Stegostoma tigrinum: one gene and its partners. The main gene of each other region encodes a partner of the protein of the gene in region 4 in a complex. Links are inferred from orthologs where the notes say so. Each region holds a gene or a part of one and is shown on either strand. Other genes may lie near its edges. The genes, in order: med20, med16, med25 and med1.

Region 1 (7,228 bases), on a different chromosome or scaffold from region 4:
TTTTTTTTAAAATGCAGAGATTGGTTCACATGTGGAATGAACTGCCAGAGGAAGTGTGGATGCGGGCACAGTTACAACATTTAAAAGACATTTGGATAAATATATGAATAGGAAAGGTTTGGAGGGGTATGGCCCAAATACAGGCAAGTGGTTGGCATGGATGAGGTGGACCAAACGAGCATGCTGTATGACTATGATCCAATGTAGTGAAAACACTTCCACTCATCCCCAAATTAAAGCTGACAGATAACGTTATAGAATTGTACAGCCCAGAAATAGTCCCTTTGGTTCAACTCATCCATGCTGACTAGATACCCTAAATTAATCTAGACCATAAAGTGTACCAAATTGCTTGGGTTTGTTGATTTTCACATTGAAAATTACCTTTACATCAACCCAGTTAATAAACTCTTCAAGGAGCTTAACATTAACTGGGGGCAAGCAGCTCCCTGTCACTCCCGGAGCAGTGCCTCAAGGGTGTTAGGATTCAGTGCCATCCTCCAGGAACACAAGTTTGAAATTGAGCTCACACCTACTCTCACTGGCATTTGAGGATCCAAACTTGTCTTTGTCTGTCATAAGCCTTTATTCAGAAGACGTTCATTCAAAGGATTGGCTGTGTGGAGCGGGGAGACAAGACCAACTTTTGCTGGTGTCTACATGGGCATCTGATATTATATAAAAACTTTTAAAATTTATTCATTTTGAGAGATGTGGGTGCATCTGGCTGGCCAGCTTTTATTGCCTATCCCTAACTGCCCTTGAGAAGGTGGTGGTGAGCTGCTTTCTTGAACTGCTGCAGTCCACCTGCTGTGGATTGACTCACAAAGCCATGAGGGAGGAATTTCCAGGATTTTGACGCAGCAGCATTGAAGGAATGCCAACATATTTCCAAGTCCGGATGGCAAGTGGCTTGGAGGGGAACTTTTAAGGTGGTGGTGCTCCCATATATCTGATGCCCTTATCCTTCTAGATAGAAGTGGTCGCGGGTTTGGAAGGTGCTGTGAGGATCTTTGGTGAATTTCTGACGTGCATTTCATAGATAGTACACACTGCTGCTACCGAGCATCGCTGGTGGAGGGAGTGGATGGTTGTGGATTCAGTGACAGTCAAGCAGGCTACTTTGTCCTGGATGGTGTCAAGCTTGAGTGTTGATGGGGCTGCACTCATTCAGGCAAGTGGGGAGTATTCCAAACACACTCCTGACTTGTGCTTTGTAGGTGGCGCACAGGCTTTGGGGAGTCAGGTCATGTTACCCACTGCAATATTCCTAGCCTCTGACCTGAGTCCCGCTGAGTTTTTGATCAATGATAACCCCCAGGATGTTGATAGTGGGGGATACAGTGATGGTAACACCATTGAATATCAAGGGGCAGTTGTTAGATTGTCTCTTGTTAGTGAAGGTCATGGCCTGGCATTCGTGTGGTACAAATGTTACTTGCCACTTGTCAGCCCAAATCTGGATATTGTCCAGATCTTGTTACATTTAGGCTCAGACTGCTTCAGTGTCTGAGGAGTCACGAATGGTGCCGAACATTGTGCAGACATCGGTGAACATGCCTGCTTCTGACCTTATGTTGGAGGGAAGGTCACTGATGAAGCAGCTAAAGATGGTTGTACCTGGGATACTACCCTGAGGGACTCCTGCAGAGATGTGGTGGAGCTGAGATGACTGACCAACCACAATGACCATCTTCCTGTGTGTCAGGTATGACTCTTACCACTGGGGAGTTGGCACCTGATACCTATTGATTCTAGTTTTGCTGGAAAACTGCAAGTACTAGAGAAGGGATAATGGGAATTGCAGATGCTGGAGAATCCAAGATAATAAAGTGTGAAGCTGGATGAACGCAGCAGGCCAGCAGCATCTTAGGAGCACAAAAGCTGACATTTCGGGCCCAGACCCTTCATCAGAAAAGGACTAGAGAAACTCAGTAGGTCTGGTAACACCGGTAGAGACTGAAACAGAGTAGATGTTCCAAGTTCAATACGAACAGTTCATGAGAGTTATATTGGACTCAAAACTCCACTGCTTGTTTCTCTTGTGACAGAGATCCTCAAATACAAGTTTCTCTTTAATTTAGTTTCAGATCTCCAGCACACGCAGTACTTTGCTTTTGTTTTCCTGCACCTTTAATGGTGCTTTCAAACAAAATTGCTCTGAAACGTAGAAAATTTACTGCTGTGACAGGGACCATTCAGGCCCATTGTGCCCATATTACTTTCCAGAGCTTGGCCTATGACCCTGCAGGTTATGGAACCTCAAGTGAGCATCCAAGGATTTATAAGTGTGAAGAGGACTTCTACTACCATCACAACTTTCAGGCAGTAAGTTCCACACACCCACCATACTCTGGGGCAAAAATAAACTCAACTTCTTGTTCAAGTTACAACTCAGAGCACAGACAGCAAAGCAAGTCTCGAATCTTAAGCCCTCTGAGAGGCCTAAATATTAACATGCATGTGGATTCCAGTTAAACCCACGTCAGGCAGTACAGAGGAACTGGTCAGAATCTGTAATCATGTCAGAAATAAAACATTTTAAGATAAAAATTGACGAATCTGACACAAGTATTTTACCTTACAGTGATTTGTAATGTATTAAGCAATTAAGAGGCTCCTTGCATAGAGGGATGCTTTGGTGACCTTTTTTTGCTCTAATATAATACAAATTTAACGTTTGAAATTGTTCTGGAACTCACAGGCTGCTGAATGCACTTGCCTTCAGGTCTGGGAGCGTTGCTAAGGCTCAACTCCCTCCCCCGCACTGATAGTTCTGTTTAATGAATAGAGTTCATAAAGAAGGTGCCTCTCACCAGGTAACACCCATCCTCTCAGCTCCGGCTCTTCCTCCAACTCTGCAATCCTTCAGCACCCTCCTGAGTCACCTCCTGCTGCTAAGATAAGATCTCAATGTTCCGCTTTTCCTTTCGGTGCCAGTAACGATCTATCCTCGATCTCCTCCCCAGAGCTATCCCCACAACGAAGCTCACAAACCTTCCAAGAGGCGTCTCTCACCTCGCTCACGATGACTCTCCCGCAACCGCGCCCCTACTGGACAAGAAGACCTCCTGGCTGCCACTGGTCTTCAGAATCAGGGCTTAGGAGCTATGCTAGCATTAAAGATCCATTTCCTACAAACGTCTCTTGCCTTTAAGACAAACTTGATCACGATCTCATACCGTAATTGAGGGAATTATTTAAAGCAAAATTAAGCACATGATTTATTTAAATAAAGAGGTATTCCATCTACAGAGAAAATAGGAACTGCAGTTGCTGGGGAATCTGAAATAACAAGGTGTGGAGCTGGATGAACACAGCAGGCCAAGCAGCATCTCCTGCTCCTAAGATGCTGTTTGGCCTTCTGTGTTCATCCAGCTCCACACCTTGTATTCCATCTACACTATAACAAAGTGTGAAGCCGGATGACCACAGCAGGCCAAGCAGCATCTCACGAGCACAAAAGCTGACGTTTTGGGCTTAGACCCTTCATTAGAGAATGATGAAACGTCAGCTTTTGTGCTCCTGAGAGGCTGCTTGGCCTGCTGTGTTCATCCAGCTTCACACTTTGTTATCTTGGATTCTCCAGCATCTGCAGTTCCCATTATCTCTTCCATCGACACTATGTTTTCTACAGTACAGTAGTGACTACTGGGTTAATGAGATAACAAGTTGCAGAGCTGGATGAACACAGCAGGCCAAGCAGCATCAGAGAAGCAGGAAAGCTGACGTTTCGAGCCTATACCCTTCTTCAGAAAGGTCTGGAAAGATTCTGAAGAAGGGTCTAGGCCCAAAAAGTCAGCTTTCCTGCTCCTCTGATGCTGCTTGGCCTGCTGTATTCATCCAGCGCTGCACCTTGTTATCTCAGATTCTCCAGCATCGGCAGTTCCTATTCTCTCACTACTACTGGGTTAATAGTGGCTTTCTAGGATGGGGGATTTCAAGAGCAGGGGCATATTTTTAAATTGAGAGGCGAGAGATTTAAAAAAGATACAAAGGGTAAATTTTTTACACAGAGGATGGTTTGAGTGCAGAATGAACTTCCTAAGGAAGTGATGAATGTGGGTACAACTACAACATTTGAAAGACATTTGGATCAGTAGATAATAGGAAAGATTTGTAGGGAGGCTTGGAGCAGGCAGGTGAGACTAGTTTAGTTTGGGACTATGTTCGACATAGACTTGTTGGACCAAAGCGTCTGTTTCTGTGCGGTATAACTGTATGACTACTCCTCAAAGTCTCCTGCGATAGGGTTAGGTTTAGGGTTAGGGTTAGGGTTAGTCTCCTTTTACTTCAATCAAAGAAGTCCCATGTAGTGCCAAAATGCATATTGTGCAAACTAATGGAATCCAGAAAAAAACACATAAGAGATTAGGTATCAAAATAAAGTTTAACTTTGCAGGTCTGATAGCATCTTACTGATTTTGTGTGTTTCAGATTTTCAACAACCACAGTTCTCTGTTTTATTATTATGTTAGAATTTAAGTTTGTATTTTATAGAGTTCAATAATAAAATCCACTAAAATGAATGAAAATCAGTAGATCCTTTAATTTATTCTACGTGCATACCTACAGCATTTGACTGAAAGGCCTTTCACACTTAAAAATGCCAAAAGTATTTTTTAAAAATTCAGTAAAGCCAGTAATTTCACATTAGTTTCTTCTGTCCTGAAGATTTCCCTCCAAACAAAACTAATTGTCAAGATAAAAATGTGAGGCTGGATGAACACAGCAGGCCAAGCAGCATCTCAGGAGCACAAAAGCTGACGTTTCGGGCCTAGACCCTTCATCAGAGAGGGGGATGGGAACAGGGAACTGGAATAAATAGGGAGAGAGGGGGAGGTGGACTGAAGATGGAGAGTAAAGAAGATAGGTGGAGAGAGTATAGGTGGGGAGGTAGGGAGGGGATAGGTCAGTCCAGGGAAGACGGACGGGTCAAGGAGGTGGGATGAGGTTAGTAGGTAGTTGGGGGTGCGGCTTGGGGTGGGAGGAAGGGATGGGTGAGAGGAAGAACCGGTTAGGGAGGCAGAGACAAGTTGGACTGGTTTTGGGATGCAGTGGGTGGGGGGAGAGAGCTGGGCTGGTTGTGTGGTGCAGTGGGGGGAGGGGACGAACTGGGCTGGTTTAGGGATGCAGTAGGAGAAGGGGAGATTTTGAAACTGGTGAAGTCCACATTGATACCATATGGCTGCAGGGTTCCCCGGTGCGGCTTCCTCTACATTGGGGAAACCAAGCGGAGGCTTGGGGACCGCTTTGCAGAACACCTCCGCTCAGTTCGCAACAAACAACTGCACCTCCCATTCTCAAGTCGCAAACCATTTCCACTCCCCCTCCCATTCTCTAGATGACATGTCCATCATGGGCCTCCTGCAGTGCCACAATGATGCCACCCGAAGGTTGCAGGAACAGCAACTCATATTCTGCCTGGGAACCCTGCAGCCATATGGTATCAATGTGGACTTCACCAGTTTCAAAATCTCCCCTTCCCCTACTGCATCCCTAAACCAGCCCAGTTCATCCCCTCCCCCCACTGCACCACACAACCAGCCCAGCTCTTCCCCCCCACCCACTGCATCCCAAAACCAGTCCAACCTGTCTCTGCCTCCCTAACCGGTTCTTCCTCTCACCCATCCCTTCCTCCCACCCCAAGCCGCACCCCCATCTACCTACTAACCTCATCCCACCTCCTTGACCTGTCCGTCTTCCCTGGACTGACCTATCCCCTCCCTACCTCCCCACCTATACTCTCTCCACCTATCTTCTTTACTCTCCATCTTCGGTCCGCCTCCCCCTCTCTCCCTATTTATTCCAGTTCCCTCTCCCCATCCCCCTCTCTGATGAAGGGTCTAGGCCCGAAACGTCAGCTTTTGTGCTCCTGAGATGCTGCTTGGCCTGCTGTGTTCACCCAGCCTCACATTTTTATCTTGGAATTCTCCAGCATCTGCAGTTCCCATTATCTCTAAAACTAATTTTCAATTGGATTTGGGATTAACAAGAAGTTAACTTTATAGGTCAACACAGAATAGACTGTTTTAAGCAAAGTTCTATATTGTTAAGAGAACATGGAGTCATAGAGTAGTACAGTACAGAAACAGACCCTTCGGTCCAGCTTGACTATGCTGACCTGATATTTTAACCTAATCTAGACCTATATGCCAGCATTTGGCCTACATCCTTCTGAACCTTCCTATTCATCTACATGTTGCAATAAGCAAAATGAAACTGGTATTTGGTTATACGTGAATATTTATTCAATTTATCATGATCAAAATCACAAATTATATGCATAATACGCATGAACACAACTACTGTGAAATATTTTTATACAGCAGTTTAAATAAATTGAGTATGAGGTTGATCAAGAATAGTTTAACAAGCAGTGGATAGAAAGCTCTGTAAAATGATCAAAGGGGTCACAATTAAACCTTAGAGTGAGAATTCACCATTGTTATTTAACAAGAGCTCTCTTAAGAACATAAAAATATAGCTGGAGGAGGTAAATCTATTCTACTCTATGGCCATCAAAGACAATTTTTTTCTAAAAGCACAAAGAATGTGGCCTTCAAATGCATTTCTTCCCACCTCAAAAGTAACAGTGCAAAACTGCATAATATCTCTTTCCTCCTGCATTTTGAACTATGATGGAAATCTTAATCAAAAATGACATCTATCATGTCTCAGTAGTAAAAACAAAAGTTCTATAACAATGATTATTCACTCATGCAGGTTTTTCTGTTCCCAAAGGCCACACCATCCCATTCTTGACCTGAAAAGTATACAGATTTTTAATAAAAATGCACATAATGTCCTTGTTTCACCCCAGAAACCACTCAAGATATATATTGTTCTATGGGGACAAACATTTATTCTTGTAGGAAGGAAGTGCAATTTAGCAGAAGTAGAAGGTTATTTCCCACTTTGGAATAATAATGAAGGAAATAAAATCATAACACATAATAAAATTTGGGGAATTACTTTAAATGAAATATACCCCTTAGGCTTTGTTCTACTGACAATAAACAGTGACTTACTTTCTAAAAGTACTTTTGCATATGGATGCACAAATCAGTGTAGTTTGGAACAAGTAAATGTTAGCACCAAATCAGCAATTAACAGAACTGAAGGAATCAGCCAAGATTCCATCTGCAAGTACTTTTTATTGTCAGAATAGACAAATAAACCAAGTTTGTATCTGATCCATACAAGGTAATCAGAATACATTGCAAGT
Region 2 (7,738 bases), on a different chromosome or scaffold from region 4:
CACTGATTCTTTTTTTCAGACAAGATACTGGATTTTGACAGGTAGTTAAAATATTGCTGAAGACTTTGACTGTAGCATATACCTTTTCTACATGCAAGGCCAACTTGACACCGTTGTGTAGCCACGACAAGGCTACAATGGGGTCCCCGTCCACTGAACTCCCAACTGTGCTATCCCAGCTGTTTACCAGATGATCAGTCATACTCCAGCATTTCACCCGACCATCAGCATCAGCAGATAATAACCGAGAACCTTCAAAGGAGACAGAGTGAAGCAAAATAATATACATTTTAAATAGGCAACTCAATTCAAAAACATACATTTTAGTAACAATTATGATACCATTCAGTTCCTGAGCTAATTTTTCTTTCCAACTACATTAAATTTGAAGCCAGAAGATAATTCAGTCAACAATGTAGCAGCTATCCACATAAAGAAATGTGTATGTCATCTATTCATTATGAAGCATTGACCAGGGTGACCATGCCTCTGCGAAATATCGAGAAAGAGTTTTTCTCTGCATTTTGTGGTAAAATCAACAGTACGCTCTGCATTTTGTGGCTTCCATACATACAGCGTAAAGCAGAAACATTATCTCAACTTTCTACCTAACACATCTTTAAATGAGAGTACAGGCAATAGGGAAAAACATTGAACAGGTCAGATCTTAAGCCCTAAACTTTCTGTACCATCAGGCACCACCAATTAGAAAGAATAACTGATCTTCATCAGATTATAATTTGTTATGCATAGTTATTTATTTATCAAATTTGTGGTGCTCCTACATATCTAGACTTGCCTGTTCATTTCACAATTGAATCTTGTGGTGCTGGGACAGATTGCAGGTTCATTAAAAAAGGCTTACCAGATTGATCCCACTCCAGAGAAGTAATCACTTCATGATGACCTGAGTTAATCGAGTAAACATCCCAAGGATGTTCAGTATCCAAAATGTGAATCATATAAGTAAGATCTATAAAAAAGATACTGTTAGGAAACTCTGTACAGTCTCATTGCTAAAATATTCTCAATTAAGCCATGAATAAGCAAAATACCAAAAAATTCTGGAAACACAGAGCAAGTTGATTGGGTCTACATACTGAAAAAAAAAATACCAGGTTTAGGAACAAATGTAAAGAGAAAGAAAGCTCAATTTCAGGTGGACCGGTCAGCATTCAGTAAGAATGCAAAAGTTGGTACCTCCCACAAGACAGTAAAGCTTGGGGCTTGAACTCATTGTTGCAAAGTATTTATCAAGACCCCAGTATGTTGGAAATTCCTTTCCTTTTAACAAGTGCACTGCACTGAAATAGTTCAAGTTGGCAACACACGTCTAGTTCAAAATTTTGGTTATCATCTTTTGCAATTGTTTAAATCCTGTCAGAGGCAGAACATAGGGAAATTGTTTACAAGCCATTGGGTCAACTATCTTGTCGCATCAATATTCAACTGTTACGGCAAATGCTTTTAACTTACTCCAGTCCTCTGTTTTGACTTCTATTTAGAAGTTACAGTTTCCTAACAGCATCTTGGATATTTGTCATATTTGGTACAACTCCAGTATATTTGAAAGCTTTTCATTTATTTCTAGTTACACTTAAAAAAAAAAATTGGGTTGGAGTTTAAATCAGGAAATGTTATTTTAGTAAATAATCTAAAGCCAATCTCTCTTCCTCTTACTGCTGACAGAAACAAATTTAATTCTCACAATCTGCTGCTTTTGTAGCCACAGTAATTCTTTGAACCTATCCATTTTGATATTTACCAACAGACAGAACAAAATATCTTAATCCTCAGAGGTATGGGCTTTGCATTAAAACAAACTTGTTCAATAATGTCAAGTCAAAAGCATGCAGTGCAAGAAAAATAAATAAATATTACATTTATATAGGACTTTTCATAATGTCAGGATATCTTAAAACACATCTTGAAATAAAGCCACTATTGTAATTTGGGAAATGCAGAAGGCCAAGTTGTGTGGAGCAAAATCTCACAAACAATAATGCAAATGAAAACACTAGTCTGTTTTCAGACATTGATTGGAGAGATAAACAACAATTACTACACCAGAAATAAGCACCATACCCTGCCCTAAATTGTGCCTTGGCATCTTTAACATACATTTCAGAGGACCCCAACAATTCAAAGGTGGTACCTTCTCTCATGGCACATTATTCCCTGTTAAAGTGACTGATGTTTCAGCATGTATTTGTGCTCTACTCTTTGAAGTGAGGCTTGAAGGCACAAGTACCCCTGACCAAGCTGCAAAAATTGATAACTGCAGTATGATAGATTCTGATTAGGTGGCAAGGCTTTCTTTCCCTACATTGATAACCGAAACATAAGTTGATCACCTTAAATTACTGTTGAGATCTTATTCTCTGCAACTGGACTGACATTTCTGTTCACCTAACAACAGTCACACGCTGTTTACCAAGCTGCTTTCAAGTTTGCAAAAACTAGGTCAAAACGTTAGCGAATACTGGAGATACTTAAGAATTTTAACTCAAAATGAACTTTATTACATCTGAACAAATACAGTGAAAAGATGAGGCAGACCAGACCCAAAACCTGACCTTGTTCTTGCTCTTCCTCGTTCTTCAGATCCGTTGTGAAGGCAACCAGGTTTCTGCAGGACCAAGCACACACCAACTGTACAGACGGACAATAATTGCTCTTCGGCCGCTTCTCCCACTCACATACATACGCTATATCCATGTTTACTGTTTCCTCAACGTCCAGAGCGCAAAGGCGCCCAACCAGCAGCACACAGCGCGCAGGCGCGCCTCATCCTGTCCCACTCAGCGCAAGCGCGCCTCATCCTGTCCCACTCAGCGCAAGCGCGCCCATCACTGGATCGGCCTATTGACACGGCGCATGCGTTACTTAGGCGAGAGATAATGGGAACTGTAGATGCTGGAGATTCCAAGATAATAAAATGTGATAATAAAATGTGAGGCTGGATGAACACAGCATGCCAAGCAGCATCTCAGGAGCACAAAAGCTGACGTTTCGGGCCTAGACCCTTCATCAGAGAGGGGGATGGGGGGTGGGAACTGGAATAAATAGGGAGAGAGGGGGAGGCGGACCGAAGATGGAGAGTAAAGAAGATAGGTGGAGAGAGTATAGGTGGGGAGGTAGGGAGGGGATAGGTCAGTCCAGGGAAGACGGACAGGTCAAGGAGGTGGGATGAGGTTAGTAGGTAGCTGGGGGTGCGGCTTGGGGTGGGAGGAAGGGATGGGTGAGAGGAAGAACCGGTTAGGGAGGCAGAGACAGGTTGGACTGGTTTTGGGATGCAGTGGGTGGGGGGGAAGAGCTGGGCTGGTTGTGTGGTGCAGTGGGGGGAGGGGATGAACTGGGCTGGTTTAGGGATGCAGTGGGGGAAGGGGAGATTTTGAAACTGGTGAAGTCCACATTGATACCATTGGGCTGCAGGGTTCCCAGGCGGAATATGAGTTGCTGTTCCTGCAACCGTTACTTAGGCGATGCGGCTCTTTGAGATTTCACTTTGAATTGAGAACGTTTTGTCAATTAACGGATTTCTGTAGTTTTTAAATTATTGATAAATGGTAGAAAGTACAAACATGTTTACATGTTTTCCCTAGGCGATTAGTTTAAGAATCTCTGTTTGTGCAAACCTTCAGATTTTGTTTTTGTTTTGATTTTAAAAGAATGTTAGAATCAAAGGTGCAGTCCCTCATTGACCCATTCCAATTATTGAAGTGTTTATACATTTACTGGTACCTTAGTTAAATTACTGGGAGAATACAACAAATCACTCCATTATCTGAAAGTGAAATGAGAATATAAGATAACAAGGCGTGGAGCTGGATGAACACAGCAGGCCAAGCAGCATCTTAGGAGCAGGAAAGCTGACATTTTGGGCCTAGACCCTTCATCAGAAGGTCTGAAACGTCAGCTTTCCTGCTCCTAAGATGCTGCTTGGCCTGCTGTGTTCATCCAGCTACACTCCTTGTTATCTCGGATTCTCCAGCATCTGCAGTTCCTATTATCTCTGAGAATTTAAGCATATATCTTTTTGTTTCTATTTTACCATGCTGCGGTTTTTCTACATTTTATTTTACATTTTCAGCATTTCTACCCCCTTTCCAGATGCATTTTCCTTATTCTAACAACAGCTTCTCTATTGGGGCACATTAATAAAATATATAAATTTATATAGGCCAAATAGTTATTTGTTACGTGTGTATCACTTTTTAAACACAGGACTTGATACGTTTAAATGACTTTGTAACCTGGGGATCATTCTTGAAGAGAATGAATGTCACCTAAATAGTTTCTAAATCGTAATTGCTGTGGTGCAAACAGAGGCCATTCAGTCCATTGTCTGCAAAAGCCTCTCTGATCATTTCAACTTGGTGCCAAACTCTGCCTTTTCTCTGTAACCCTGCATATTATTTCTCTTTAAATAAATCTTGACATTTCCCATCAAATGTTTCATTTCAATTTACCTCTACCAGGCATTTTTAGGCAAAACGTTATGAATCAGAAACAAAAATAGAGATTGCTGAAAAAGCTCAGCAGGTCTGGCAGCATCTTAGAAGATCAACCATAGATAAAATTTCAAATTTGTTGACCCTTCCTCAGAATTGATGGTAGCTAGGAAAATGTTGGTTTATATGCAGAAGATAGCAGAGGGTAAGGAGTAAATGATAGGTGGGATAAAGCGCAAAGAGAAAGAAGAACAATTGGACAGATGAAGGGCTGGATAATGATCTGGTTAGGAGGATGGATAGCAGTTAATGGGGACCAACAATAGGTAATGGTGAAATGAAAGGGGACTAACAATAGTTAAAATATGTAATGGCAGGTTATATGATAATAAGGCCTGTTGTGTGGGGTTGGGGTCTAATCCATAGGAGAATTCAGGCCCTAAAATTATTGAACTGTATTGAGTCGGGAGGGGTGCGATGCACCCAAGTGGAAAATAAGGTATTTTTCCTCCAGCTTGTGCTGAGCTTCACTCAAACACTACAGCAAGCCTGAGACAAAGATGTTGACAGGGAACAGGGTGTTAAAGTGACAGGCAACTGGAAGCTTAGGGTCTTTTTTGCAGGCAGAACTTAGATGTTCTGCACAGATGTCACCCAGTCTACGCTTTGTTTCTGCAATGTAGAGGAGCCCACATTGTGCGCAACGAATGCAGTGGACTAGATTGTGTGAAGTGCAGGTAAAGTGCTGCTTCATCTGGAAGGTATGTTTGGGCCCTTGGTTGTTGAGGAGGGAGAAGGTAAATGGACAGGTGTTACACCTTTGGCAGTTACAGGTGCCATGGTGTTCTATGGGTTGCTGGGTGTTGTGACCAGGGAGTCACAGAGGGAACAGTCGCTGCGGAAGTCGGACAAGGGAGGGATGGGGAATATATGTCAGGTGGTGGCATCTCGCTGGAAGTGGCGGAAATGGCAGCTGATGATCTTCTGAATGTGGATGCTGGTGGGATGGTAGGTTAGGACAAGGGGAACACTATCGTTTTCTGGATGGAGGAGAAGGGGTGAGGGTGGAAATGCAGGAGATGGATCGGACCTGGTTGAGGTCCCTGTCAAAAACTGGAGAATCCTCAGTTGAGGAAGAAGATGGGCATTTTAGTGGCTGTCTTGTTGAAGCTGGCCTCACCAGAATATATGCAAAGGAGACAGAGGAACTGGGAGAATGGAATCTTTACAGGAAGCAGACTGCGAGGGTGTATAATCCAGGTAGCTGTGGGAATCAGTGGGTTTATAGTAGATATTAGTGGCCAATCTATCCCCAGATATGGAAACAGAGATGTTGAGGAAGGGAAGGGACAAGCCAGAGATAAACCAGAGATAAATGAAAATGAGGGCAGGGAGGAAATTGGAATCGATATCAATTAACTTTTCCAATTCCAAAGAAGAGAGGGAAGCAGCACTGATGGCATTTTCAATATATCAGAGAAAGAGGTGTGGGTGGGGTCCATAATAGGATTGGAACAAGGAATGTTCCATGTACCCCTGAAGAGACAGGCATACCTGGGGCCTAGACAGGTACACATGGCCATCCCTCTGACCTGAAAAAAATGAGAGGAGTTAAAAGAGAAGTTGTTCAGGCTGAGGATGAGCTCGGTCAAATGGAGGAGAGTGGTGCTGGGTGGGGACAGTTCAGGAAGAAGTGGACTGCCCTGAGACCATCCTAGCGGGGTTTGTATGTGTAAAGGGATTACACATCCATGATAAAGTGGAAGTGGCTGGAACCTGCAAATTGGAAATTCCGAAATTGGTGTTAAGCGTCAATGGAATTGCGGATATATGTGGGCAGGGACTGGACCGGGGAGAATAGACTGAATCAAGATAGGAAAAGATGAGTTCTTAGTTTTTGAGAAGATTTGTAGTTGTGTTGTGGATGAGGTTGTACACGTGCTGGGCAACCTTTTTCTTGTCCACATTTGCTCCTTTTACAAAACATTTTACAACTGTGCCTTCTGCATCTTGATCCTCTGACAAGTGAGAACAGTTTCTCCCTATCTATACTGTCCAGTGTCATGAGTTCGAAGGCTTCAGTCAAGTTTCCCCTCCACTTCCTCCATGGCAAGATAAATAGCCCCAGCTTCAGTAATCAGTCCTCATAACTGATGTTTCTCATTCCTGGAATCTTTCTCATAAACCTCATCTGCCCTTTCTACAATACATTCGCATTCCTTCCTATAAAGTCTGGTGCCCAGACTGTTTACAGTGCCCAGCTGAGGTCTAACCAGTGTTTTATATATGTTAATCATAGCCTCCTTGGTCTTGTACTCTCTGAACCTATTAATTAAGCCAAGAATGCTGTATGCTTTATCATTCGGCTGCTCCAGCTGTCTTGCCACCTTTAACATCCTATGTATGTATGCACTGAGTTTTGTCTGTTCCTGCGCACCCTTTAGAATATACCCCTTATTTCATATTGTCTCTCCTTTTCGTTGTACCAAGGTGTATCACCTTGCACTGCTCCACATTGAACTTCATCTGCCACCTATCTACCCAATCCACAACTTGTCACTGTCCTTTTGAAGTTCTGTATGATCATCTTGGCTCTGTTCAAATGTAACCCATCTGTCCTGTAAAGGTACCATCTCCCCCACAGCCAGTTCCAGAAATCTAAAACCTTCCCTCCTGCATCACCTTTTCAGCCACACATTCATCTTTCTTAGCTTTTTATTTCTGTATTCACTTTTACATGGCACTGAGTGACATCTGGAAATTGTAACTTTAGAGGTCCTACTTGCTAAGTTTATACATTGCTTCCTAAATCATAATTGCAGCACTGTATCCTCCTTTCAATCTGTCTCTTTAGTGCCGATGTGGTCCATAACCTCTGACTATTCACCCTCCCCCAGCAGAATGTCTCATAGCCATTCTGTGACAATCTTGACGCTAGCACTAAGGAGACAATGCACCATCCTGGAGTCACATTGATTGCTGCAGAAAGGTTTATCTGTTCCTCCAACTAAAGAATCCCCCATCAATAGTGTCTTCTCTTTCTCATCCCCTCCTGTACATCTGGGTCAACTGTGGTGCCAAGGGTGTGGCTCTTATACTCCTCCAAGGATTAATCCTCTCATCAATATCCAGAATGGAAAACCAATCGGTGAATGGGACCTCTGACTCCTGCTTTACTCGCCTGTTTCTCTTGGACAGACTGGAGTAATCTATTCCCTGTCTGACAACTTGCAGTGGCCACCCCTCTGAATGTGTTGTCCAAAAAGTTCTCTGCCTCACAGAGG
Region 3 (7,075 bases), on a different chromosome or scaffold from region 4:
GCTGTGAACTTGTGAGCATACGGAAACATCTTCCTGATGTATAGCCATTCAATCATCCTCAGTCTCCATCAGGTCATCTCTCAGTCATCTCTTTTCTAAAGGGGCACAGTCTGTAAAATCTTGCACTTTGTTCCTCGAAGGGTCTGTTTGACTACCCCTCCATATATCATTTTCATTGGCTTCAGCATCTGGGTCTCCCTTACAGCATGGTGAAGCAAACTTTATTCCCTATCACAAACAATACGACTTCAAATATTTATTATATCAACCTGATCAATGCACAGGGAGTGATTCCCTTACACCGGTACAGGAGTTAAGAAATGGTGGAACTGGGTAAGGGAGGGGACAGGCTTCATTTCCATAAGAACAAGAATGAATCAGTCGGTTTTGCGCACAGCACCTTTGGGACGTTAGCACAATGCCACAGCCACTAGATCATAGCATTCCCTCATAGAAAAAAGCCAACTTGGTCTGCTTCGGGTAATCACAAACAGTACAGGGTCCACTTACTCAATTGCTGGAAGAATATAATGCTTCCGGAGAGATTCAAAGTATGGCCCAAGGTTCGCGGTACCTTCGATAACAAAAACCACATCTGCTACCATGTTGGAAGGGGTGGGAGTATCAATAGGGGGCACAACCATGGTGTTCGCAAGTCACTGTGAAGCCTTTGCTTTTACACAGGGGCAGCTGTATGGAAAGAAAAAAATAACCAAGTGTTCTGTTAACAGATACGACTCCTATTACAAGTTAGGCTAACGTCCAAGGTAACACTACAGTTTAGAGATAGTAGGAACTGCCAATGCTGGAGAATCTGCGATAACAATGTGTAGAGCTGGATGAACACAGCAGGCTAAGCAGCATCAGAGGAGCAGGAAAACTGATGTTTCAGGTCGAGACCCTTCTTGACTCAAAATGTCAACTTTCCTGCTCCTCTGATGCTGCTTGGCCTGCTGTGTTCATCCAGCTCTACACATTGTTATAACACTATAGTTTGTGTGTGTTTCGGTCCTGTAGCAATATTCTTACATCTCAGTAATTTTTTTTGGCTGCAGGGCAGGAAGAAGAGTGGAGTGTGGAGGGAAGAGACAGAGGTTGACTGTACAAAGAGGGTTAGTCGGATTGGAAAATTGACATACAATTCAATTAAGACAGGTGCTATTAGGTTTTGACTGTAAACACCTCAGTTGGAGAAGTGTGAGGGAGTAGTCATTTTTGATATATAGATTTTAAATAACATCATTGCCCACAGTCCAAAAGAGAACAGATTGAAATTTTAGCCAAAAAAGGGCCAAAAACAGTTCTGAGGAAGGGTCACGGGACCCGAAACATTAACTCTGATTTTTTTTCCCCCTTCACAGATGCTGCCAGACCTGCTGAGCTTCTCCAGCAACTTCGCTTTTTGTGCCAAAATCCTTACACTGCTTTAGATTAAAAAAGTGTTACATAATATGTTCTTCTTGTTACCATCGAATTTATTCCCCAATGTTCATCAATCTACTCTGACTTGGTTTTTATACCTCTGGAAAAGTTAGCCCTGTACACAGCTCTTCTGGCCCAGATCCAGGGAGACCACTCTGTGCAGCAGGACCACCAACTGTGTCCCAATTGTTCCCAGAGATGAACTAATCACTGACTAAGGATATAAAGGATACTGAGCGAGTACAACAATTTTGTTAGAATGGTACCAGGGAAGACTGAAGAAGATGCAAACTATCACCCTTCAAGCAGAGGAAGTTAAGAAAGGAACTCTCTCCTACAAATGGCAATTTATGCTACGGCAATGGTTTGTTTCAAAATTGAGATTGATAGATTTTTAACCAAATATAGAGGACGTGGTTCAAATGTGACGATATGCAGCAAGGTTGGAGGACAGCTACGAGATTTCTGAAAGGCAAGACTGCTTAAGCTGAATGGCCTCCTCCTGTTTTGATCTTACTAAATTCAAAGTTATAAAGAGAGACAGCCAAGCACTTAAGTCATAAAGAGCTACCCACATTCCTCACTTACAGTTTATTTTTCAGCCATGAAACGGTGCTAAATCTCCATCCATTCAATTCTCTCCTTACCCCACCCCACATCATCAGCAAAAAGTCCAATTCTCAGCTGTTTTCAGTTCTGATGAAGGATCACTGGACTCGAAAGCTTAACTGCTTTTCTCTCCATAGATACTGCCAGACTGTATTTCTCTAGCATAACAAAGTGTGGAGCTGGATGAACACAGCAGGCCAAGCAACATCTCAGGAGCACAAAAGCTGACGTTTCGGGCCTAAACCCTTCATCCCCGTCTCTGATGAAGGGTCTAGGCCCGAAACGTCAGCTTTTGTGCTCCTGAGATGCTGCTTGACCTGCTGTGTTCATCCAGCTCCACACTGTGTTATCTCGGATTCTCCAGCATCTGCAGTTCCCATTATCACTGTATTTCTCTAGCACTTTATTTCTGATGTCCCTATCTCCTGGAGCAGGTAGGGACTTGAATCCAAATAAATAAAACAAAGAACTGTGGATGCTAAAAAATCTGGAGGGAAAAAACAAAAGTTGCTGGTTCTGCAGAAGGGTCTTTGAACTCGAAACGATAACTTTGTCTGCACAGATGCTGCCTGACCGGCTGAGTTTTTCTAGCAACGTGTGTTTTGGTTTCAAACATTAACACTTTGCCATTTGGAAAAAATAAATGAACAAAACCTGTCAAGACGTCTCGTAAAGAAATAAACGCATAATAGATATGAAAAATTTCCTTCAAAACGTGTACTGTGATAACGTGAAGCATCGGTTTTGCTTTCCAATAAATAACTGCCCTACAGCGGGGGCTCCTCCCCTTTATATGACAGTCATTCACACAGAAGAGGCTCGCCGTTTAACGATTAACGAACCTCACAGGCGGTTTCTCGCCTTTCCACATCGCAGTAAAGGGCGTTTGAATCTTTTCGATCTGACTGCAACTTCTGCTGATCTTCCCTCAGCCTTTTCCACCAGGCCGCGGGAGAAAAGCGGCTCGAGCGCAAACAGCCACCTCACGTGATACCACAAACCCGCCCGCCCACCTCACGCCAGTCAAAAAAACGTCACACAAAACGGTACCCGCCCACATGGTTTCCAACCGTCACATGACAAAACGGGGCGCCCCGCCTATTCGTGCCCAGACCACGCTTCCTTTACACGCCCCCGACACCTGCCCCACCCATTAAAAAACGTAACACTGACAGTCCTGCCTCTCCACGCGTGTCGCCGCGAACATGGGTGCCGCCCACTCTAGCCTGACCCTCTTGCCTTCTTGGTGAACACAAATAGCCCGCCAACGTGCATCACATGACGTCGTGCCGTCATGCCACTTTTACTCACCCACTCTCGCACCAAATGACGCGTCACGTAACGTCTATTTAGTCCCGCCCATGAGAGCCTCATATCCTACACCGCCTTCAGTTCGCCAGTCAGCTGCGTCACGTGAATCAGATGCAGCCCCGCCCCCTAATCCCGGTCGTCACCATTGGTTGAGCTGCATGCACTTGACGGGTCATCGCCTTCCCCAGCTGCGAGAAAACGGCGCCCTTATCTATCACGTGACACCAAAGCGGCGGCCAACGTGCTTGCTGGACCACACCCGCTTCCAGGCTCTCAGGGAAATTGATAGAGCGTTTTCAGATGACGTCCCAAAAGCCGCCCCCTTGGCCGCCATTGCCATGGTGATCAGCAAATTACTGACTGAAAATAGTCCTAAATCGGGAAGTCAGTTTGCTGTTTAGAAAATAAGTCTTGTTCTCTTGTGGAATTAGTATACAACAGTTTGCGTTCACTTATTATTTTTAAAGTACTGAAACCCATTTAATTTCTTCGAAAGAGAGATTATCAAACATAGTTTACATCGAACTGCAGAAGGAGATAGCGACTCGTTTCTGTTCCATTTTTCAGAATAAAGCCTAACCTTTATTGGAGACGACCACTTGATTCCTGGTCATGCCAAGAAATATTAGCAGTGAGAAAGATAATGGATCGGAGGCGTTTTTCCGCGCTGTAGATCCCTATAACTCGATGGCCAAAGGGACAAATCAGACCATAAAATCCATTTCAATATTGGAGACATGTGTTTTTTTAAAAAAATGAAATACGTCAAGTTGCCTTTCGTATGTTAAAGCAGTTGAGTATTGAATACCTCAACAACTCACTTGTGAAAAATCAGACATTCTTCAGGGATCGGCAGCACAAGAATTTGCAGTGGTACTTTTAACAGGTTGGTAGGACAATAAAGATCCACGGTCACGTCTTTCTTTTTCAACGTTAACTCCTACATACACTATGATCACTATTTACTCTTAGCAGACTGCACATTTCTTTCTCTGAATGTCGTACTCTTTCAGAAAAAAAGCCCGAGTGCACTTGAATTGCAAAATATGACTTGGCTAAGCGCCTGAGAATCCATTCTGCGCTGTGGCACAGTCCCAGGGAAAATATTGCTTGATTGACAGCTCTGGTACTCTGATCTCCACAATCCGTAATTGGAATGTTTCAAAAGCTTATCGTTTCTGTTATTAATACTTATCAGGGTCTGGATGAACAACACTTTTATAAGGAATCTTTTAAAAATAAATTTGCAAAGTTATAAATTAGTGATTTATTGCACATACAATTGTATTATAAGATCCATTGGTTTTATACAGTGTATAGTGGACTAAAAGAAATGGAAGTGCCAAAGCTTTATAGGGGGATGGGTCTGGGTGGGATGCTCCAAGGGGCAGTGTGGACTTGTTGGGCCGAAGGGCCTGTTCCCACACTGTACGGAATCTAGTCTAATCTTAACATGGTATTATGAGGGGTCAGCAGTGGAGGACAGGTGGAGGTCATGAGGTGGCATGGATGATGATGGGGGAAAATGTTGGAGCAGAGGTGTATGAAGGATGAGGCTTAGGGGTTTTGTGTTTACTACTTTCCATTTAATTTTTCATTTTGTCTTTGTTATAATTGGGACATTACCCTTTTCTTGGATACTTTATTCCTTGATTGTCCATGATTGGAGAAGAATGTTTTATTACAAAATTCCTGAGTTGCCTTTGGTTGCCTATTCCAAGAGGATGTGGGTCAGAGATGCTTGATATGTAAGCAAGAAGTACAAAGGGTATTGTTTGGAGATATTCCTGGATGTTTGGTAATGTGTCAGTCAACAAAGATTACTAAAAATAGAGGGAGAAAACAAAACAGCATACTAGCAAGTAATAGAAAAACTGACAGCAAGAGCTTCTCTAAAAACATAAAAATGAAGAGGGAGATACCAACGTTAACATGGACTCTTTAGAGAATAAGGCTGGTGAAATAATAATGGGGAATTAAGAAATGGCAGAGGAATTGAATATATATTTTGCATCAGATCTCTGAAGAGGGCATTAAAAGCAATCTAAAAATGCTAAACAATCAAAGAGTTAAAAAAGAGCAGGAAATAAAATAACAATCACAAAAGAAAAGTTACATTCTTGGGTTTTAAAACAAGGAGCTAAAGCGATAGTTCTTGCACAATGATAATTTTCCAAGCATCTTTAGATTTAGCGAGTTTTGAGAAGATTTGTAGCTCAGGTTGAGGTTCTGGATGTAAGTTTGCTCGCTGAGCTGAAAGGTTAGTTTTCAGACGTTTCGTCACCATTCTAGGTAACATCATCAGTGAGCCTCCGACGAAGCGCTGGTGCTATGTCCCACTTTCTATTTATCTGTTTAGGTTTCCTTGGGTTGGTGATGTCATTTCCTGTTCTTTTTCCTCAGGGGATGGTAGATTGGCTCCAAATCAATGTGTTTGTTGATGGAGTTCCGATTGGAATGCCATGCTTCTAGGAATTCTCGTGCATGTCTCTGTTTGGCTTGTCCTAGGATGGATGTGTTGTCCCAATCAAAGTGGTGTCCTTCCTCCTGACATGACCCACTATCACTCGTATCCTTACATACAGATGAGGAAGGACACCACTTTGATTGGGACAACACATCCGTCCTAGGACAAGCCAAACAGAGACACGCACGAGAATTCCTAGAAGCATGACATTCCAACCGGAACTCCATCAACAAACACATTGGCTCCAAATCAATCTACCATCCTCTGAGAAAAAGAACAGGAAATGACATCACCAACCCAAGGAAACCTAAACAGATAAATAGAAAGTGGGACATAGCACCAGCGCTTCGTCGGAGGCTCACTGATGATGTTACCTAGAATGGTGATGAAACGTCTGAAAACTAACCTTCCAGCTCAGTGAGCAAACTCACATCCAGGATCTTTAGATTTTGAAAAAGCACGGAAGATTGTAAAACTATCAACATATCATCCATATTCAAAGGGAGGTAAATGAAGAAGAATGGTAACTATAAGCCTGTTAGCTTAACAACTGTCACTGGGAAGATATGAGAGTCTATTATAAAGAATATGATATTGAGGCATTTAAAAATACATAATATAATCAAGCAGTTAACTTGACTTTATAAAGGGAAATCAAACCTGATAAATTTATTTCAGTTCTTTGAGGAGGTAACAAGCTGGATATATAAAGGGCAATTTTAGATGTAATAGATTTAGATTTCCAAAAGGCATACACATAAGGCAACTTAATAAGAGATAAGAGACCACGTTGATGGTGGTAATAATATTAGGATGAATAGCAAATTAGCTCAATAACAGCAGACAGAGTAGAAAAAAAGGAACAATTTCAGGATGGCAGTCTATAACTAGTAGAAAGTCACAAAGATCAGTACGGGGCCACAATTATTTAGAATATATATTAATGACTTGGATGAGATTGTGAATATACTATCACTAAGTTTGTGGACGACACAAGAACGGTTGGGAAGCAAGTAGTGAGAATGATGCGGTCTACAAATTGATATACACAGGTTAAGTGAATGGCAAAATTAAGTGAGTGGTAGATGGAATATAATGTGGGAAAATGTTAGGTTATGCACTTTGGCAGGAAGATCAGAAAAGCTGAATATCATTTAAATGGGGAAATATTTCAGAAAGCCACAGCACTTTATATTTTGGGGCCGACGTATAAATTACATGCTAGCATTCTAGTTCAGCAAGAATTAGGGAAAGCAAAGGGCTGAT
Region 4 (7,269 bases):
AGTACTGTAACCACAGTTCCAAACGAAAGTCATACTGTACTTCAAATGTTAACTTTTTTTCTTCCTCCACAGACGCTGCCAGACCTGCATAGATTCTACAGTTCTTGCTCTTTTCACTTCAGATCTCCAGCATCCACAGTAATTTGCTTTTATTTTGTACAAATTCGTCATAACCTCTCAGCCTTTATATTTTTACCTATCTTACGACTATCTTCAGAGATCCATGGACATGCACTCCAATGTTACTCTGTTACTTCTCAGGAACCTATCAGTAAATTTGACCCTCCCCAAATGCATTACCCCAGGCTTCTCTGGAATGATTCCTACTCAACACTTCTCTGACAAGATGGCCAATCCACACATATTTTCATGCAGTCTACTGCCAATTTCTTCACTATCATGCTACCTACGTTTAAGTATAAACCATCGCTATATATCGCTTACAACTCAACCTCTTACAAAATCCAATAGAAACAAACTTCCAATCTCGAAAGCACCAATTTCCCTTAGCAAAAGAGATCATAAACTAATTAAAATAATTTGTGGAAGGATTAGAACAGGGTTAAGGAGAAATCTTTTCACAAGAGTACTGGGGTTCTGCAACTCCCTGCCTGTAAAGATTGTACATGAATAAAACCTCATTATATTTATAAAGTATTTGGACATGCAACTGAAGCGCTGTCATGTGGAGATTATGGACCATGGGCTAGAAATGGGGGAATTATGCTGATTAGCTCTTTTTCAGTCAGAGATACGATGGGTTGAGAATCTCCCTATGCTGCAAATCTATGATTTTATGTCATAAACAAATCAATATGAAAGTGACCGTTTCTGAATCTCCATGGCACACATGGTGGAGTTTCAGTTTCCATTTCCTATACACTTATCTGCAGCCTCATCTGGTTCTGCCATTTACTAAGGGTACATCCATAAGTGTTATGGACGAAATAAACTGACCTGATTTATCTAGCAAGCAGTACAATTATAAGGAACATCACTCACACAAGCCTGAAATAAGTAGTGGTATTCATTGACAAATAAAGTGTATTTGCCCTCAATGACTTTTAAAGAGCCTCATGACATTGGTGATGACAGAAGTGGCCTGAAAAATTTTAGTCAAAGATTAAATGGCAATGTTTTGATGACTGCAGTCATTGTAAGGATAATCACATCTAACTTTGATACGAGGTTTACTTGAACTGTTGAAATTTCAACAAACACAATTTTGATGGGAAAGATTGTGTCCAGATAGACAGAGTATCATGTCACCTTTTTATTGGTGGATAAACTCAATCAATCCTACTTATCACTCCACTTTTTGATTTTATCCAACAGGACCTAGGATGCACGAGCTCACAGATCACCCATTCAGGTTAATAAATTCAGCTATTTAAGAAGGGCTTGGGCCTGTTGTCACATAAAGCAATAGATGAAGAGGGTAACCAAATCTTCCACCAGTGCCTGAAAGCTTGTGCAGGTGAGGGATTTTCAATGTGGAGCCAAAGGTGCGGGGGGTAATTCATGTCATTTAATAATTGCTTTTGAATTCAGTAAAGGGGCAGGTCACGAATACCTCCGTTATGCTTTGAGGTCCCTACCCCTGGGGTCCAATGCCCACCCTTAGGCCCCAAGAAACAAAAATATAGTTCAGGAACAGGCCCCTTCAGCCCTCCAAGCCTGCACTGACATTTTCCCCTTCCGTACTAGAACTGTTTTCACTTCCAGAATCTGTATCTCTATTTTCCCTTCCTATTCAAATATTCGTCCAGGTTCTTCCTGAATGCTGCTATTGTATCAGCTTCCACCAACTCCTCTGGCAACGCATTCCGGGCACTCACCATCCTTTGTGTGAAAAATGTTCCTCACACATCTCTTCTAAACTTCCCCCTTCACACCTTGAACCTGTGTGGCCCAGTAAATGACCCCTCCACCCTGGGATAAAGCCTTATACTTCCATTGATCCATGCCATTCACAATATTACAAACTTCTATCAGGTCGCCACGTCAGCCAGTAAATCCCAGTAAACCTTTTCTGTACCCTCTCCAAAACATCTACATCCTTCTGGTAGTGTGGTGACCAGAACTGTATGCAATATTCCAAGTGAAGTTCAATAAAGCTCCAGCATGACTGGTCTATCCTTATACTCAATGCCCCTTCCAACGAAGTCAAACATACCATAAGCCATTTTTACTACCTTATCTACCTGCACTGCCACCTTCCGTGATCTGTGGACGTTCACAACCAGATCCCTCTGCATGTCAACACTCCTAAGGGTCCTGCCATTCACTGTATAATTTCCACCTGTACTTGACCGTCCAAAAGGCCTCACCTCACGTGTGTCTGGGTTAAACTCCATCCGCCACTTTTCAGCCCATTCGCCTAACTGATCTCCATCCTGCTGTAACCTCAAGCAATCCTCCTTCCAGTCCTCAACTCCAACAATCTTTGTATGGTCTGCAAACTTACTAAGTAGATCAGATACATTTTCCTCCAAATCATTTACGTACAGCCTCCAGAACCAAAGCCCACCCAATGTTCTTACCCCTCTGGTCCATTATCCAGCCTCAGGCCTCTAACTCTCAGACCAGATGTTCACTTTCAGGCTCCTGCCCGTCGGAATGGATGCCTACACTCAAGCCCTGACCTTTTGGCTCCAATACCCATGCTTAGGCCCCTAACATCTGGGTCGAATCCTTACCCTCAGGTTCCCATACCTTGGCCCCTCCAGGGCCGATGCCCACCCAAGACCCCCCCCCCCCACCGAGGGCCGATGCCCAGCCTCAGGCCTCTGATCACCTGGGGTCTCCTGCCCTTGGAGCTCCTTGGCCCCCAGCAGACCGAGACCCCCGCCTCGAGGTTACCGGCCTTTATTTACCTGTCGCCTCTTCCTTGCTCCGCTCGGCGTGTGGCGGCTGGTGCTGGGGCTGCGGCCCGGCCGATGTGTCGACGCAGCCACTGTGGCTGTAAGAGACCGAAACGGGGAACCCCTGCAACGCCGCCATCTTCCCCTTCCTCCCCTTCGCTCGGCCCGGCCGCGCAGGTTAACGGCGTCACATCCGACGCAAGGGATCAAGACGTCACTGAAGCTGGTATATCGCCCCCTGGAGGCAAACTGGGGGAAACTGCACCCAAACTGCAATGTTTCCCCAAATTGAATAAAATTGTTCAGAAGTTCCCCCTTTTGTTGAAATTATGGATCTTTCTTATTGTGCAGGCTTCCTCCTGCTCCTCGTAAGACTCCTTTTTTAAATCTTTCCAGGAAGATAGACAGAGGACACAGATTTGTGAAACAACTGAAGGATAATTTCATTTATGCCATCCCAGAAGTGATGGAGACAAAGGAACCATGTTGTCTAATGAAAGCGATAAAGGCAACTTCATGGATAGAATTTCCACTTAAAATTTTCAAGGGGAGTGTAACTGTATCTGTAGTTATCATAATGTGGTCAACCAGAATATGATTTCTCTGATTGGAACTGTTAATCTGCCCCAATCAGTGAGCTCTGGCTGACAGATATAAACAGGTGGGTCAAGATGCTGCTTGACCTGCTGTGTTCATCCAGCTTCACACTTTGTTATCTCGGATTCTCCAGCATCTGCAGCTCCCACTATCTCGGGTCAGAGATTCTGTTCACTCTGAGAGTTGGCTCTAAGGAAGCTGGAGCAGTGTTACTGACTCTCCATGTGTAAATAAAGGGTGACTTGGTGATGGGATACCGGCCTCGTTGGAGCTATTTCAGTACCCTGTATGTGTGTGATATTACGTAGATAGTTCACAATGAGACAGGGTCGCTTGTAGCTGGGGGATTAAAATATAGTTACTTTAAAAAGTCTGGATTAAAAATTTAGCAACAACAATAGCTGTAATGACATTACTGGAATATGATGAAAATCCATGTGTTACACTAATGTCTCTCAGAGACATTATTGCTTTACTAAATTACAAGACATCGGTGACAAATTAGCAAAATGTAAAAGCAAAACTAAACTAAAAGAAAATAAAATAAGGAGATAGTGAAGTTTCACATCTCACTGCTCATCCCAGAAGTACCAAAAGGTACCGAAATGAAGCAAAATGCAGGGCTGTCAGGGTGACAGAATGCAAATTAATAGAAACTTGAAGCGATCAATGAATCCCATTTGATATGAATTGTAGCAGAAGCTGTAAGGATCCATAGAAATTTAGGGTGCGGTCAACTTGGGCAAAAAGAGTGGGATTTAATCTCATTATCATTGAGCCTGCTCTTGGCACTGGTAGGAGTTGGGAATCTCTTGTGGGAAGGATGCAGCCAGTTGAATTGGGCATGACCATGGGTGACAGTGCTTTACTGCTGTCTCATATTGCAGGGATAGCTCAGACACTGGCAGGTTCACTTCACTTTATGCTTAGGCAGGAGAAGCTGCCATTTTTTTGAAGGGAAGAAGGCCCTGAGTAGCAGCTGCAGCCCTGCATGTGGATTCTCTAAGGACATATCCGAACAGAGGTGCAGGAGTGGGCCATTCAGCCCATTGAGGCTGCTGTGTAATTCAACTACATCATTACTGATCAACTGCATCAATGTCATTTTTCTATGTTATTTCCAAAATTGTTTAATGCCACTAATCTAAAGAATTTAATTTATTTCTGTCTTGAATATGCCCAATGATTGAGCTTTCACAACCCAATCACAGCATTCCAAAGATTTACCACTCCCTGAGTATTAAAAATGTTAACTTTATGTATTAAATATTATGGTTTTCTTCATTATTTTAGATTACTACAGGATGTGATATGGAAAGGAAGAAGAAAATAACTTTTCCTGCTGGAACTAGCAATTGCTGACAATGACACCTTGGGTATAGAGAAGGAGAAGAGGAAACCTGAAAACGGACAAGAGACTGTTCTGATAGCAACTTGCCTAATGTTACCTCATGTTAATTCAACTTCCTTCAGCAGTTTGCCCCATCTCCCTGTTTGCAACGTTCTAGAAACTTGGTGTTATGTGGGACCACCAGAATGCAAATACTCTACATGGTTTGAAGTCCCTATCTGCTAATCCTTGCATTTGGCATTGTAAAAAACCAATCTAAAAACAAATAGGCAATCCCTCCACATAAACAGCAGTGAAATCACACAATTCCAGACCAGTTCAGACAAGCAAGGTATATCTTGCTCCCCAGAGGAGCTCGAACAGTTCATCCACTTCGCCAACACCTTACACCCCAACCTTCAGTTCACCTGGGCCATCTCCAGCACATCCCTCACCTTCCTGGACCTCTCAGTCTCCATCTCAGGCAACCAGCTTGTAACTGATGTCCATTTCAAGCCCACCGACTCCCACAGCTACCTAGAATACACCTCCTCCCACCCACCCTCCTGCAAAAATTCCATCCCCTATTCCCAATTCCTCCGCCTCCGCCGCATCTGCTCCCACGATAAGACATTCCACTCCCGCACATCCCAGATGTCCAAGTTCTTTAAGGACCGCAACTTTCCCCCCACATTGATCGAGAACGCCCTTGACTGCGTCTCCCGTATTTCCCGCAACACATCCCTCACACCCCGCCCCCGCCACAACCGCCCTAAGAGGATCCCCCTCGTTCTCACACACCACCCTACCAACCTCCGGATACAACGCATCATCCTCCGACACTTTCGCCATTTACAATCCGACCCCACCACCCAAGACATTTTTCCATCCCCTCCCCTGTCTGCTTTCCGGAGAGACCACTCTCTCCATGACTCCCTTGTTCGCTCCACACTGCCCTCCAACCCCACCATACCCGGCATCTTCCCCTGCAACCGCAGGAAATGCTACACTTGCCCCCACACCTCCTCCGTCACCCCTATCCCAGGCCCCAAGATGACATTCCACATTAAGCAGAGGTTCACCTGCACATCTGCCAATGTGGTATACTGCATCCACTGTACCCGGTGCGGCTTCCTCTACATTGGGGAAACCAAGCGGAGGCTTGGGGACCGCTTTGCAGAACACCTCCGCTCAGTTCGCAACAAACAACTGCACCTCCCAGTTGCAAACCATTTCCACTCCCCCTCCCATTCTTTAGATGACATGTCCATCATGGGCCTCCTGCACTGCCACAATGATGCCACCCGAAGGTTGCAGGAACAGCAACTCATATTCCGCCTGGGAACCCTGCAGCCATATGGTATCAATGTGGACTTCACCAGTTTCAAAATCTCCCCTTCCCCTACTGCATCCCTAAACCAGCCTAGTTCGTCCCCTCCCCCCACTGCACCACACAACCAGCCCAGCTCTTCCCCCCCACCCACTGCATCCCAAACCAGTCCAACCTGTCTCTGCCTCCCTAACCGGTTCTTCCTCTCACCCATCCCTTCCTCCCACCCCAAGCCGCACCCCCATCTACCTACTAACCTCATCCCACCTCCTTGACCTGTCCGTCTTCCCTGGACTGACCTATCCCCTCCCTACCTCCCCACCTATACTCTCTCCACCTATCTTCTTTACTCTCCATCTTCGGTCCGCCTCCCCCTCTCTCCCTATTTATTCCAGTTCCCTCTCCCCATCCCCCTCTCTGATGAAGGGTCTAGGCCCGAAACGTCAGCTTTTGTGCTCCTGAGATGCTGCTTGGCCTGCTGTGTTCATCCAGCCTCACATTTTATTATCTTGGAATTCTCCAGCATCTGTAGTTCCCATTATCTCTGAAGGTATATTAGAGACTGTGCACTCTGCAGCAACCCATGTTGCTCAAAGCCATTCTCCTAACCACAGTGCCCTAGTCAAAAATTATATGAAAAACTTACCACTTGCCTTGATAGGTGGACTCTAGCTCTATTCATGAACTTCAAAAATTTTCATGGATAAAAACAATGCATGTATTTGGGAGCCTAGCCAATACTTTAAACCTTCATCCTCTCTGCCAGCAGTATCCCTATCTCTGGGGCAGGACATCCCTGCTCAAGTTGTCTCTGCCCCAGCCATGTGTAATAATATTTTTGAACAGGTTGACTGGAAACTGTCTACGGTACTGTCTATACTGCACTGTGGAAAAAAAACTCTCTAAGGTGTGTCCTCAGCAGTATCTCCCAGATCTGCAGCCTTCACAAAGAATCAGGGCAGCAAGTATACATGAACATTGATATTGACCATATTTTTATTGTTGTCAAACTCCTGGAGTTCTTTACCTAAAGCCATTGTAGATGCGTCTTCACCACATAAGTTGCACTGGCTCAATAAAGCCCAACAACATCCTGTTAAGTACAATCCAGTATGTGTAATGAATGGGAGCCTTAATAATAAGGCTCA

What was found.
Region 1: med1 (region 4) and med20 share a complex: the UniProt entries of both Homo sapiens proteins name them as parts of the mediator complex. The link is inferred for Stegostoma tigrinum from reciprocal best matches to the Homo sapiens genes MED1 and MED20.
Region 2: med1 (region 4) and med16 share a complex: the UniProt entries of both Homo sapiens proteins name them as parts of the mediator complex. The link is inferred for Stegostoma tigrinum from reciprocal best matches to the Homo sapiens genes MED1 and MED16.
Region 3: med1 (region 4) and med25 share a complex: the UniProt entries of both Homo sapiens proteins name them as parts of the mediator complex. The link is inferred for Stegostoma tigrinum from reciprocal best matches to the Homo sapiens genes MED1 and MED25.

What each region holds. Positions count from the first base shown.
Region 1 is NC_081374.1:14,512,866-14,520,093, forward strand, and holds the start of med20 (mediator of RNA polymerase II transcription subunit 20), read right to left. Parts: upstream 3,013-7,228; 5' UTR 2,831-3,012; coding exon 2,817-2,830; exon of another isoform or gene 2,723-2,816; intron 1-2,722. UniProt on the Homo sapiens protein: Component of the Mediator complex, a coactivator involved in the regulated transcription of nearly all RNA polymerase II-dependent genes.
Region 2 is NC_081383.1:28,124,220-28,131,957, forward strand, and holds the start of med16 (mediator of RNA polymerase II transcription subunit 16), read right to left. Parts: upstream 3,012-7,738; 5' UTR 2,719-3,011; coding exon 2,577-2,718; intron 974-2,576; coding exon 866-973; intron 253-865; coding exon 83-252; intron 1-82. UniProt on the Homo sapiens protein: Component of the Mediator complex, a coactivator involved in the regulated transcription of nearly all RNA polymerase II-dependent genes.
Region 3 is NC_081391.1:15,910,895-15,917,969, reverse strand, and holds the start of med25 (mediator of RNA polymerase II transcription subunit 25), read right to left. Parts: upstream 3,025-7,075; 5' UTR 2,874-3,024; intron 691-2,873; 5' UTR 645-690; coding exon 511-644; intron 1-510. UniProt on the Homo sapiens protein: Component of the Mediator complex, a coactivator involved in the regulated transcription of nearly all RNA polymerase II-dependent genes.
Region 4 is NC_081384.1:9,381,425-9,388,693, forward strand, and holds the start of med1 (mediator of RNA polymerase II transcription subunit 1), read right to left. Parts: upstream 3,025-7,269; 5' UTR 3,004-3,024; coding exon 2,877-3,003; intron 1-2,876. UniProt on the Homo sapiens protein: Component of the Mediator complex, a coactivator involved in the regulated transcription of nearly all RNA polymerase II-dependent genes.